Linked DNA regions of Canis lupus familiaris. The protein of the gene in region 1 interacts with the protein of each later gene in a pairwise test. Links are inferred from orthologs where the notes say so. Each region holds a gene or a part of one and is shown on either strand. Other genes may lie near its edges.

The links. The genes of interacting proteins can lie anywhere in the genome.
Region 2: the proteins of TRAF3IP1 (region 1) and CCNA2 interact in a two-hybrid assay, tested with the Homo sapiens proteins (2 studies listed by BioGRID and IntAct). The link is inferred for Canis lupus familiaris from reciprocal best matches to the Homo sapiens genes TRAF3IP1 and CCNA2.
Region 3: the proteins of TRAF3IP1 (region 1) and SFR1 interact in a two-hybrid assay, tested with the Homo sapiens proteins (2 studies listed by BioGRID and IntAct). The link is inferred for Canis lupus familiaris from reciprocal best matches to the Homo sapiens genes TRAF3IP1 and SFR1.

The regions. Positions count from the first base shown.
Region 1 is NC_049246.1:49,087,320-49,090,967, forward strand, and holds part of TRAF3IP1 (TRAF3-interacting protein 1), read left to right. Parts: intron 1-811; coding exon 812-888; intron 889-2,184; coding exon 2,185-2,244; intron 2,245-3,648.
Region 2 is NC_049240.1:19,143,598-19,147,345, forward strand, and holds the start of CCNA2 (cyclin-A2), read left to right. Parts: upstream 1-1,042; 5' UTR 1,043-1,327; coding exon 1,328-1,540; intron 1,541-2,316; coding exon 2,317-2,560; intron 2,561-3,748. UniProt on the Homo sapiens protein: Cyclin which controls both the G1/S and the G2/M transition phases of the cell cycle. Functions through the formation of specific serine/threonine protein kinase holoenzyme complexes with the cyclin-dependent protein kinases CDK1 or CDK2.
Region 3 is NC_049249.1:16,628,740-16,632,487, forward strand, and holds the start of SFR1 (swi5-dependent recombination DNA repair protein 1 homolog), read left to right. Parts: upstream 1-1,212; 5' UTR 1,213-1,218; coding exon 1,219-1,233; intron 1,234-1,235; exon of another isoform or gene 1,236-1,279; intron 1,280-1,446; coding exon 1,447-1,561; intron 1,562-2,121; coding exon 2,122-2,243; exon of another isoform or gene 2,244-2,289; intron 2,290-2,886; coding exon 2,887-3,291; intron 3,292-3,748. UniProt on the Homo sapiens protein: Component of the SWI5-SFR1 complex, a complex required for double-strand break repair via homologous recombination. Acts as a transcriptional modulator for ESR1.

The sequences.
Region 1 (3,648 bases):
ATACATTTCTGAGGTGAAATGTACCAAACAATGTATATTCTGAGATTGGGGCCTCCACCTGCCCTCTCCCTGTAGGTAATGGTAAGACATATGGCTTATACTTTGATTTAAAAAACTGTAAGTTAGTACATGTGCCTGGAGTGTGTGTGTGCATTTAGCAGTATCTGCGTGTCTCTGTCTTGCTGTTGTGACTTGGCATCGTGTGTTGGCGTTCGTCCCCGAGCAGCGCAGACAAGTCATCCTCACTGCTGCTCACAGCTGAGCCCTCCTCTGCCATCCGGGTGCTTCGGGGCGTATGCAGCCAATTTCATATGGATGTGCATTTGCATGAGACAGTATTCTAAAGAAAATGTTTTGTATGATATTTACCCCCATGGGCAATTTTTTTTTTTTTTAAAGGAAGTTGAAGGCTCTTGAACTAATATAAAAGGAGTATTTGTGCTTAGAAACAGCTCAGAGTTGGCACACCTGTTTGTGGCAAGGTGGCTATATGTTTGAATGTCCATCTACGTGTCCTCATAATTCTTTTCTGTTTCCAATGTTTTTTTTTTTTTTTTTTTACCTTTGAGGAGCTGATTTCTTTGAAACACTCTGAAGTTTTTTTTTTTTTCACTCTGAAGTTTTATAGTTAATTTCTACCACCAGCTGTATTAGACTATTGTAGACTCCAAGCAAATAAAGATGATTTGAAGCCATGTAGAATATAGATAGAAAGAGGAAAAACAAGAAACTAGTGTTCTTGCCTCCCCTCTGCCCATTTAGAATAGAAGAGCTCTTTAGAGAATAACATAAAATCACTGATTCTCAACAGGAGGACTTGTGAAAAAAATTCTGGAGACCAAGAAAGATTATGAGAAGTTACAGCGGTCACCCAGACCTGGAGAGAAGGTAAGAAGTGATGCCTGCAAATGTGCTCATCAGCAGAGTCCGCTGACACACTTTAAAGCTCCCCGCTCCACCTCCTCCTTGGTTGGGAGGATAGAAAATTCTGGGCTCCTCTGGCGTGTCCTGGGTGGGGGCTCAGGAATCAAGGCCAAGGGCCTGTTCTGCTCTGATCCCGTGGCTGTCCCCTTCCTGCCTCGTCCAGTCCCTCTCCCTGCTTGCAGAGTCGGGAGGCTGGCCGCCTGGCCCTGGCTGCCTCCACACTAAGAGACCAGGGAGTTTTCAAGTCTGGCTTTTAAATCCAGGTGCTGCTTATCCCTGGCCTGCCAGCTGTCTTTCTTGCAGCTGTGGGATGTTGTTTGTTGGGACCCGCAGCTCCTGGCCAGCCACCGCCCCTGAGCATATGACCCTGGGGCAAATACTTGCCAGCCACATAGTAGGCCTCAAATGTCACAGCTACGTTTCTGTTATAGTCACTTTAAAAAATAAGAATGTATCTTCACTTACTGGTTTTGTAACAGAAAGATGTTTCTTGGATAGTTTCAGCAGCAGCCAACAATTCCAGGAAGTTTTACACACATGCACAGATAATTCTGCCTCAGATGTCCGGGTTTGTAATGACGATGTGGCTTGAAACAGCAGGGAGGGGACTCTGCAGTTGATAGCCACCTCAGGGGGGCCCCGGAACAGTCCCAGGAGAAGAGTGCTCCCCGGGGCTCTATCCACGGCAGCACCGTTGGCTCCTCTGAAAGAAGAATGGTCTTTCTGTGGTCCATTGTCTGTGCTGTGAAATTTTCATGTCATAGGCCTTTTCACAGGCCCGAGGGGCTGTCCTGGTGTCCCTGGCAGTGTTTCTGGGACCCAGTCGGAAACCGTGAGTGTGTCCCTCCAGGCTGTTAATGTAGGCAACCTTTGAAGCTTCAGTTGGTTTAAATTTTATAGCCCTGTTTGCTATGCGATGCACACAAGGTCTGTGCTTTAGGCTTTCGTCTGAAGAGTAAATTTCAGAGTACATACTTTGACTTTAGAAGATAAAAGGGAAAAATGTCCTTGAGTGGTGAACATTTGCTGCTTTAGAAAAGTACAGCTAATAAGTGCTTCAGAATCGGGGTGATGTGTATTGCAGACAGGGAACAAGGAGGCTGCTCTGCTCTGTTTTCCGTAGTACGCTCATAAACATCAGATTTAAATTTCACTGATTGGTCTTCTGAAAAGAGCTTAGAGTTTTAAAATAAAAGCAATTGAAACGTACAGGAAAAGTTGATGTTTTTTCTGCCTCTGCCCCAACCCCACTGTCCGTAGGGCAGCCACAGGGACGAACTTGGTGTGAGCCATACTTTAAACGCAGCTGCCTCTGCTCGGGTGAGTTTTCAGTGCTGCCCTGTTGCTGGCATGTGACGCAGATTGCTTTCTTTGGGCACCATTAAGTTCTGAGACCCTCCCTGTGTGGATACCTGGGGGTCTAGTTCAGTCGTCTTAATTGATGACTGGTATTCCAGTATTTGTTCGTTAATTCCTTTAATGGTGGACATAGGTTTCGTCAGCCTTCCACAGTTATAAACTCTGACGAACTCCTTTCATGTGTCTCCTGGCATGCAGATGCCAGTGTCTCTCGGAGCACCAGTCGGCAAACATTTTCTGAGAAGGGCCAGATAGTAAATATTTTAGGCTGATGAGCCGCGTACAGTCTGTTGCAGCTTCTCAGCTCTGCTGATGTAGCCTGAAAGCAGCCCTGGTGTAGACAGCAGTAAACCATGTGTGTGGCTGTGTTCCAGTAAAGCTTTATTCACAACAACAGGACCCAGCCTGGGGCTGGAGTTTGCGATCCTGCTTTAGAGTCTGTGTCCACGCTCAGAATTGCTGTGCCAGAGCACGTACAGAGCTTCGATTTCACCAGGTGCTGCCAAATTAGTCCTCTAAGTGGCTGTCCCCAGGTACTGTCCCAGTGGAACAAGAGTCTTCCACGTGTGCACCGTCCACAGGCAGCATGGTCAACTTGTGCATCCCCCTCCCCACCCCACCCTGCAGTGGCCCATGCCCTGCAGGCCTATGGGGTCCCTCCCAGCCACCTCCCGCCAGGGCCCAGCAGCTGCTCCTCTGCATTTGGCCACTGTGGTTGGTGTTTCCCAGAACTGCAGTTGAGTGGAGTCAGAGGGCATGTGCTCCTGCTTGGCCTGGCTTCTTTCAGTCATCACAATTATTTTGAGATCTGTTTTTCAGCAGGCATCAACAGTTCATTTCTTTTTATTGCTGGGTAGTGCACTGTCTGGATGCACCACAGTGTGTGTATCCATCTGTCAGGTCATGAGTGTTTGGGTCATTTCTAGTTTGGGTCTCTTGCAGGTAAAACTGTGGAGAACATTCACGTACGAGTTCCACGTGGACAAACACTTTGATTCCTTTGGGTAAATACCGAGGAGCAAGACCGCTGGCTCACATAGTCAGCGTATATTGATCTTTCCAAGAAACTGCCCAGTGTTTTCCAAAGTGGTTGTACCACTTATGTTTTCACCACGGCCTGTGAGAGTTTCGGTTTTTTCCTGTCCGCATCAGTGCTTGGAACAGTCACATTCTTTGTGTTTAATATGCATTTCCTTAATGGCTGATTATGATTCGGTCGTGACTGCTGATTCCTTCTCTTGGCTCTTTTCTTAGTATTGAAGTCTCCGTGTTACTAGCTTTTCTGATCATTTGAGCTAATCCTTTCTCTTTGCTTTACAAGTCAGTTTCTTGAATGGGTATATTCCGTTTTTCTATTTCTTTTGG
Region 2 (3,748 bases), on another chromosome or scaffold:
TTGTTTTATCATGTAGAGAGGGAAATAAGACTTTAAAGCTACAGAAGTTTTATTCACTAATGTTAATTCATGTTTCTTCATACTCAGGAGAATATTGTGTTTGAAGATTGTTTTAAAATGGCGTAAAGATTATATAATCATGTTTTTAAGAAGGGCATCCTCATGAATTTGTCAGAAAACAAGGTCTCTTAATTCTTTACCATTATATTAATATATGCAAGCCTTGTTTATTAAATCTGAGAACTTGTTAAAGGCACATATCACTGAGAGTTTTATTTTAAAAGGTCATGTTGTTTTTATTTAAACAGCCTTCATTGCCAAATGGAACAAAATTCTGTATCTATGTCACTAGAAATTTCACTGGGTGCTTTTTGTTGGCTGGCACAGCTGGGAAAAGCATCAAAATTAGTGACTGTCTAGTTGAGTTTCTTCCAGTACATTACTATTTGTTTATATATATGTATCAACAGTAGTTAAGGTAGCACCTACCTAATCACATCTTCATGAGGTGAATTCGGAAGCATGACTGAAGAAACCCCTAAATGATACATGACAGTACAGTCCACACTCGAGGATCAGTAAGCAAGCATGTTAATGATTTACGCACATTACATAATCACAACAGCCATACGACATGTAGCATTTTACCCCCAATTAATAGATGAGAACACTGAGAATCAGAGACGTGTCATCACGGGGCCCGCCTACCAGGCCGGTTCGCGGCTGGGTCGGATCCGAGCTTGGGAGACCAGTCAGTCCAGCCAACTGAGGGCCCCACGGCCAGCGTTAGGCAGGCGCGGCCACTAACAATTGCTGGGGTTTGACTCCGTCGGTCCTAGAGACAGCCGCGGCCCAGCACCCTCGGGTCACCAAGTGGCCCAGTTTAGTCACTAGAAGTTCAGGCCCCGCCTCTTTGGCCGGCGCAGGCGTTTTCCCTCCCGCCGCCTTTCGGCGTTTCTCCGCCCCCGCTCCGTGGCCTTCACGGCTTCCTTCATTTGTCTGCGACCGTGTCGCCTTGAGTGACGTCAGGGGCATCGGCCCTTCCCATTGGCCCATTTCAATAGTCGCGGGATACTTGAACTGCACGAACAGCCGCCGCTCCGGCGGGCTGCTCGCTACATCTCGGGGGCGTCTTGAGCCCTCCACGCCCGGCAGTTCCTGCCTGAGCCTTTCGCAACGTCCTCGGAGCTGCGCGATCCCGAGCGAGCAGGCTGGCCCGGACTGCCGCGGGCGGCTGCGGCTGGAGCGTTTCTCGGCGGGGTCGGCGGGACGCAGTACACGCTGCTTGGCGCCGCAGGCTGATCCCGCCGCGACCCGGGGAGCAGTGATGTTGGGCAGCTCGGAGCCTGGGCCTGAGGCCCGCGAGGCGGGCTCGTCGCTGCTAACGTTGCAGCATACGGCGCTCCAAGAGGACCAGGAGAACATCAACCCCGAGAAGGCGGCGCCCGCCCAGCAGCCCCGGACCCGGGCCGGGTTGGCGGTCCTGAAGGCCGGGAACCAGCGCGTCCCAGCGCCGCAGCAGAGGCCCAAGACACGGCGGGTAAAGAGATGAACGATATCTGCAGGCGAGGAGGGCCGAGCGGGAGTTTTGCACGAGGTTTGAGCAGGCCGGGGAGCGTGGCGAGAAAGCATCTTCCGAGCTGTTGTAAGGGAGGCCTGGGTCTGCAGTCCCCTTGATGCCTAGTGTTCTGGCGCGGGGGATGCCACGTAAATCTTTCCCATAGCTCTCTTCGCCAGCGCTGTGTGTTTTGCTCCCTGTCTGCTCTTTATTTGGTATATTTTCCGATAGAATATGAGGGTCAGACCGAGCACCACGACGTATGTCCGCGCTTTCTTCGCCGCTTTAAACCCCAGGCACTGCCCTAGGATCTGGACCCCCTTCCTGCTCGCCATTTGGTTAAGATTACCTTTACTTTAGGAAAGAGTATAAAAAATAATTTTTTTTTACTAAATTCCGCCATTTTACCGGATTTGCTCTGTTGCTCCACCCTGGGGCCAAAGCGGTGAACCAACACCTCTTTGCCGGCTCTCCTAAACTTGTCATCATTCAGCCTGCTACCCCACTCCTCTTGTGGCCTTGATTAGTTTTGCATAAATGCATTTAGTGTGATTCTATAACTTATGTAGAAATGCCGCTAACGAACTTGAACATCCCTTTCTTCAGCTATTCAAACTTTACTGCCTGGATTTTGTCCCAGATAGTTTAATTTCCTTAGAGTATTTGGGAGTGAAAACAGAAACTGAGAACCGTAAGGGGAAGAAAGCAAGCAGAACTCCATTTAATAGGCTCAAAGCTAGCTATTCATTTCTTTTTAGGTTGCACCTCTTAAGGATCTTCCTATAAATGATGAACAAGTCACTATTCCTCCCTGGAAAGCAAACAGTAAACAGCCTGCATTTACCATTCATGTGGATGAAACAGAAGAAGAGACTCAGAAGAGGCCAGCTGAATCTAAAAAAACAGAACATGAAAATGTCCTGGCTTTTAATTCAGCTATTACTCTACCTGGACCAAGAAAACCGCTGGTACCTCTTGATTATCCAATGGATGGTAGTTTTGGTAAGTTTTAAAGAACATCTGTATCAAATCAATGTAATCCTAAAGTGATTATGGATTAATGATAGTTTCATTTTAAGACATTATTTTACCTGACCCTTACTATATAATGAATTTGGTGTAATGTAACAAAGTTTAGAAAGGGTATGATTCATCTCCGATCTCACAGCTCATACATTGACCTAGTGACCTATAAATCCTAACTGGGTGCTCCTTCCTTCCCATATTACTGCCAATCACATCAATTTAATTAGATCTCAAACCCTTATTTTAATCTGACCCTGGAAATATTTGCCTGCTTGGGAGAATAGATTTGAACCGTATTCATAAACTCACTGTGTACATACCACTTACGAGAGTATTTGAATAGGATACAGCTTTCAATATTGTGATATCTAACATCTCTTACAGCTTAAAATTTTCTGTAAATCCAGTCTGATACCAGAGAGGGACACTGTCCTCCTGTGAGGCAAGAGTTGAATCATGACTGCAGCTAACCACATATAAAATGAAGTAGCTGCTATAAAGCAAGCTCTGCCAACAGTTTATGCGTGCAACTTCTTTACCATACATAGATAGGTCTGTTGAGTCACTGGATAATTCATTCGTTTCATCTCATTTAGGTTTTAGTTCTGAGAAGTGGTCTGGGAATAGCAGGAAAATCCTTTGGAAATAAAGTAATTTTTGTATTTTTCTTGAAAATTTATAACAAACTTTAACCTTACAATGAAACTTGAAAAGAGTAATGAATGATATTCTTTGCCTCAAAAAGTAATTTAAAATTACAAAACATGAAACATTTGGTGATTATAGTGTTAATTTGTTTGAATTGCTCATAACAAACCTAATTTTAATTAACATTAACCCTGCTTTTAGTTATTGCTACATTGTTCTTTGAATATGTCAGACTTTGGGGTCAGCACTCTTAAGGTAAATACTACATAATACCACAAAACTTGGATTTTAACTGTCTTTGCAGAATCACTGTGCCATTTGCTCTTCTCTCATGGAATATGATTGATACTTAAACATAATAATACATTTTCAAGCACACTCTTTTAGTGGCCTAGCAGTATTTTCTCTTGTTGATTAAAACCAAGTGGACTGGGGATCCCTGGGTGGCTCAGCGGTTTAGCGCCAGCCTTGGGCCCAGGGTGTGATCCTGGAGTCCCGGGATCGAGTCGCGCGTCA
Region 3 (3,748 bases), on another chromosome or scaffold:
GCACTCGGTTGTCTTCAGGTTCCCGATTTCCGACTGCTCAGTCAATCCCTCAGGGCCCTGGCACTTCTGTGCTATGAGGTGTTTGTAGAGAGACCGTATCAACGTTTCCAAAGGCCATTTATGAGGGTTGAAAACACCAGCTCCTTAAAAATCCCCGACTTCCATGTGACTCAGAAATTACGAACCGTCTTTCCCCAAACCCAGGGCTCCGCCCAATTGACTTAACTTTGTTGTTGCACAGCAACAGACCATCGCCACCAGGAAGTGAGGATTATTTCTTTTTTTTTCAAACCTTTTATTTATTTATTTTTAAAAGTAATCTCGGGCAGCCCCGGTGGCTCCGCGGTTAGCGCCGCCTTCGGCCCAGGGCGTGACCCTGGGGACGGACCCGGGATCGAGTCCCAAGTCGGGCTCCCTGCATGGAGCCTGCTTCTCCCTCTGCCTGTGTCTCTGCGTCTCTCATGAATAAGTAAGTAAAATCTTAAAAAAAAAAAAAAAAAAAGTGTTCGCGGCAGCAAAGGCTGGAGAGGTGCGCAGCCGCACGGGCCTCCTGGAAAGGTCTGACACGTCGGAGTCTCCCCCCGCCTCAGCTGAGCCGACCGTGAACGCCAGCCACGGGCGGCTCCGCGGCTTCGGCCCCGCCGCGTGACACTGCGACGTTAGCTGCGGCGAGCGAGGCCCGAGGGGCCGCGGGGCACGCCCGGGCTTCCTCCCTCACACACAAACACAAAGAAGCCGGGAGGGGAAGGCGAGGCCTGGAACGTCGGCGAGGGAACCCGCCCCCCCGCATTCCCTCAGAAGCCGCCGCCCCTCCGCCCCATTCCCTCAGCCGTTCCCTCAGAATCCGTCCGTCAGTCATTCAGAAACTCAGCCCGGCCCGCCCCCAACCCTGCGGAGGCTGGCGGCCGCGCGCGCCCTGTGCCGCCGCGCTCCGGCGTTGGGCGGGGCAGAGCGCCGAGCGACTGTCGACCGGGCCAGTCACACGTCTCTGCGGGCCCCGCGTGACCCCGCCCGCTTCCGCCTCCTCGCCGCGCTGGAGACCGCGCACGCGCAGTCCGGCCGCTCCCGGGGCGCTGAGGCACGCGGCGCTGCGCGTCGGTCAATCGGACCAATCGCGCGTCTCTTCCGCTTCCCCTGCGGCCCCGCCCCCCAGGGCAGCGCGCGTTTTCCGCGCTCTGGGAGGTGGAGGAGGGAGGTAGAGCGCGGGCGGGCGAGAGGATGGGAGTGTGGGGGGTGGGCTGCTCCGGGGTCTGCGGGCGCGTCGAGCGGAGCTCCCTTTGTGCGGGCAGGGCGCCTCCCAACCCTTCCTCTGACCCGGGGGGCTCCCGAGGGCTAGTGTGGGTTTTCTGCTGTGGTGGAAGGAGGAGGAAAATGCCCCCCTCCCCCCCCCCCCAAAGTTGATGCCTTTGTTTGAGGAAACAAACTTGTGCCAACTCTCCTTTCCAGGGTCAGTTCGCTGCTCAAACGACACAGACGGGCGTACACTTACCTGCGCTCCTGTTCCTTGTTCCTCAGGCCCCGTGGTCATTGGTTCTAGTCACACAGCTTTATAGGGCTCAAGGTACTGTGACAGTTCTGATGATTTTTTCGGGTCAGGATTTGAGTTTGTATTTCCTTATAAATTAGAGTTCCTTAAGAATCCCAGAGTTAGGGGATCCCTGGGTGGCCCAGTGGTTTAGCGTCGCCCTCAGCCCAGGGCGTGATCCTGGGGTCTTGGGATTGAGTCCCGCGTCGGGCTCCCTGCACGGGGCCTGCTTCTGCCTCTGCCTGTGTCTCTCGTGAATAAATAAAATCTTAAAAAAAAAATGCCACAGTTAATTCTCCCACTCCGTACACGACAGATCTGAGGATATTCTAATGTAGATAAAACAAGTGGAGAGCGTTTCTATAGGGAGATGCCAGCTCGTTTGTCCTGGTAGTCACCACGTGGACCCACACGGTCGTAGGTAGGAAGGTAAATGGAAAACTGCAAAACGAGCAAGAATGGACCCCAACTAAGTGAAGTTGTGGCTGGCTTATTCGTGGAGGTGATATGTACAGCAGTAAAAAGTTCTTTTACAGAAACAGTATGTATTTACATTCTGATTGGTTATTTTTTGTTGTTATTTTTCAATTTTGTAGAGGTAAGCCAAGATTGCGTTTTCAAGATGGAAAGCCCATCCGACCCAGCCGTGGTTTCACCTAGCACTCCGCAGGCCTGTGCCAGTCCACCATCTCCCCGCCCAAGTAGTTCAAGAAAACAAGTATGCATATCCGAGCTCTTGCATGGGAGCTATTCTTTATTTCTAGGTATTGTGCCAGCAGTGGGTTTAATTCTACTGAAGACTGTTAATCAACGTAATGTGTAGATCAAAAAGTAGAGATTTTATTGACTATTAAGTAATTTTAGGCCTTTCTCCTATGATAATGAGTTTGAACTACCCCCACCATTTTCATCTGGTATCAATTATGTTCATTTAGTTTCAGATCAGGTTACTACAAAATTCCAAATTGAGCAAGTTTGAATCTGCAGTATTCTGAAGGTCTTTGGTGGCAGGGAGCTAGGTCTTCTCCTTAATTTGTAACTCTGAGGCACTCAGAAGTGTCAGGAGTGTGACAGTTGCTGAACAGATGTTTGGGATGACTGGGGTAAGTGTCTCAACACTGTTTTGGAAGGGTGCTGACTTTGCTAAAATAAAAAGAATAAAATTAATGGGGCTTGCAGGAATTGAAAGACATTTTGTGATGGTTACTTTAGATCCGTGGAAAGAGAAAGCCATCTAGTGGTGTCAACTATAGAAATGTTAAGGTCTTTATTTCACTATAGAAATGTTAAGGTCTTTATTTCTAGCAGATTTATTTACACAAGAATGTTTTTCTTGATTACTATTTTGTGCTCCTTTTCAGCCGATGAGTGCAACACTTAGAGAACGACTAAGGAAAACTAGATTTTCATTTAATTCCTGTTACAGTGCGGTAAAACGTCTTAAAGTAGAGAATGAAGAAAACGATCAGACTTTTCCTGAGGAACCTTCAATAGAGGAAAACTGTTTGGATTTTCAAGAAAATTTTAAACACATAGACAGTCCATTCAAAGAAAGTACATGTTTGAAAAATACCTTCAAGAGTATCAGTGCTTGTGAATCTAAGTCTCTTGATACTGAGTCACGCAGTGATCTCCAGAGTGACTTTGTGAATGAGGATCTTTCCAAACAAGGATTAAGTGAAGAAAGAGCAAAATTGGTGAAGCAGATTGAGGAGAAAGAAGATCTTCTTCGGAGGCTAAAACTGGTCAAAATGTATAGATCAAAGGTGAGAATAATTTCAGAACCACTTCTTATTTTTTAAAAAATAAATGATAGGAAAGTAATTTCAAAGAGAAAATAAGTTTATTTAAGCATAATAAACAATAAGCCAAATATTGAGAAAACTGTCTTCCACCAACTGTAACTCAAATGTAAGTCATAGATTTAGAGAAGAGGCCCCTAAACACCAGATTCAACTTTTAAAAAGTCCCAGCTATCATTTAATATGCAGTTGAAGTTTTTCTAATTTCCAGCCTGTAGCAATATTAGTTTCAAATGAGAGGCAAGCACAGTGAGACTGAAAGTGTGACAGCTGTCAGTGAATGATTTAAAAAGCTACAAACAGGCCACAAAGTATAATAATAAATATTTTTAGTAATAATCTTGTATTCTTCTAACTTATTAAAATGTATTTTGTTTGATAAGACAAAGAAGTTAAATTTTAGATTTCAACACAGATAGGT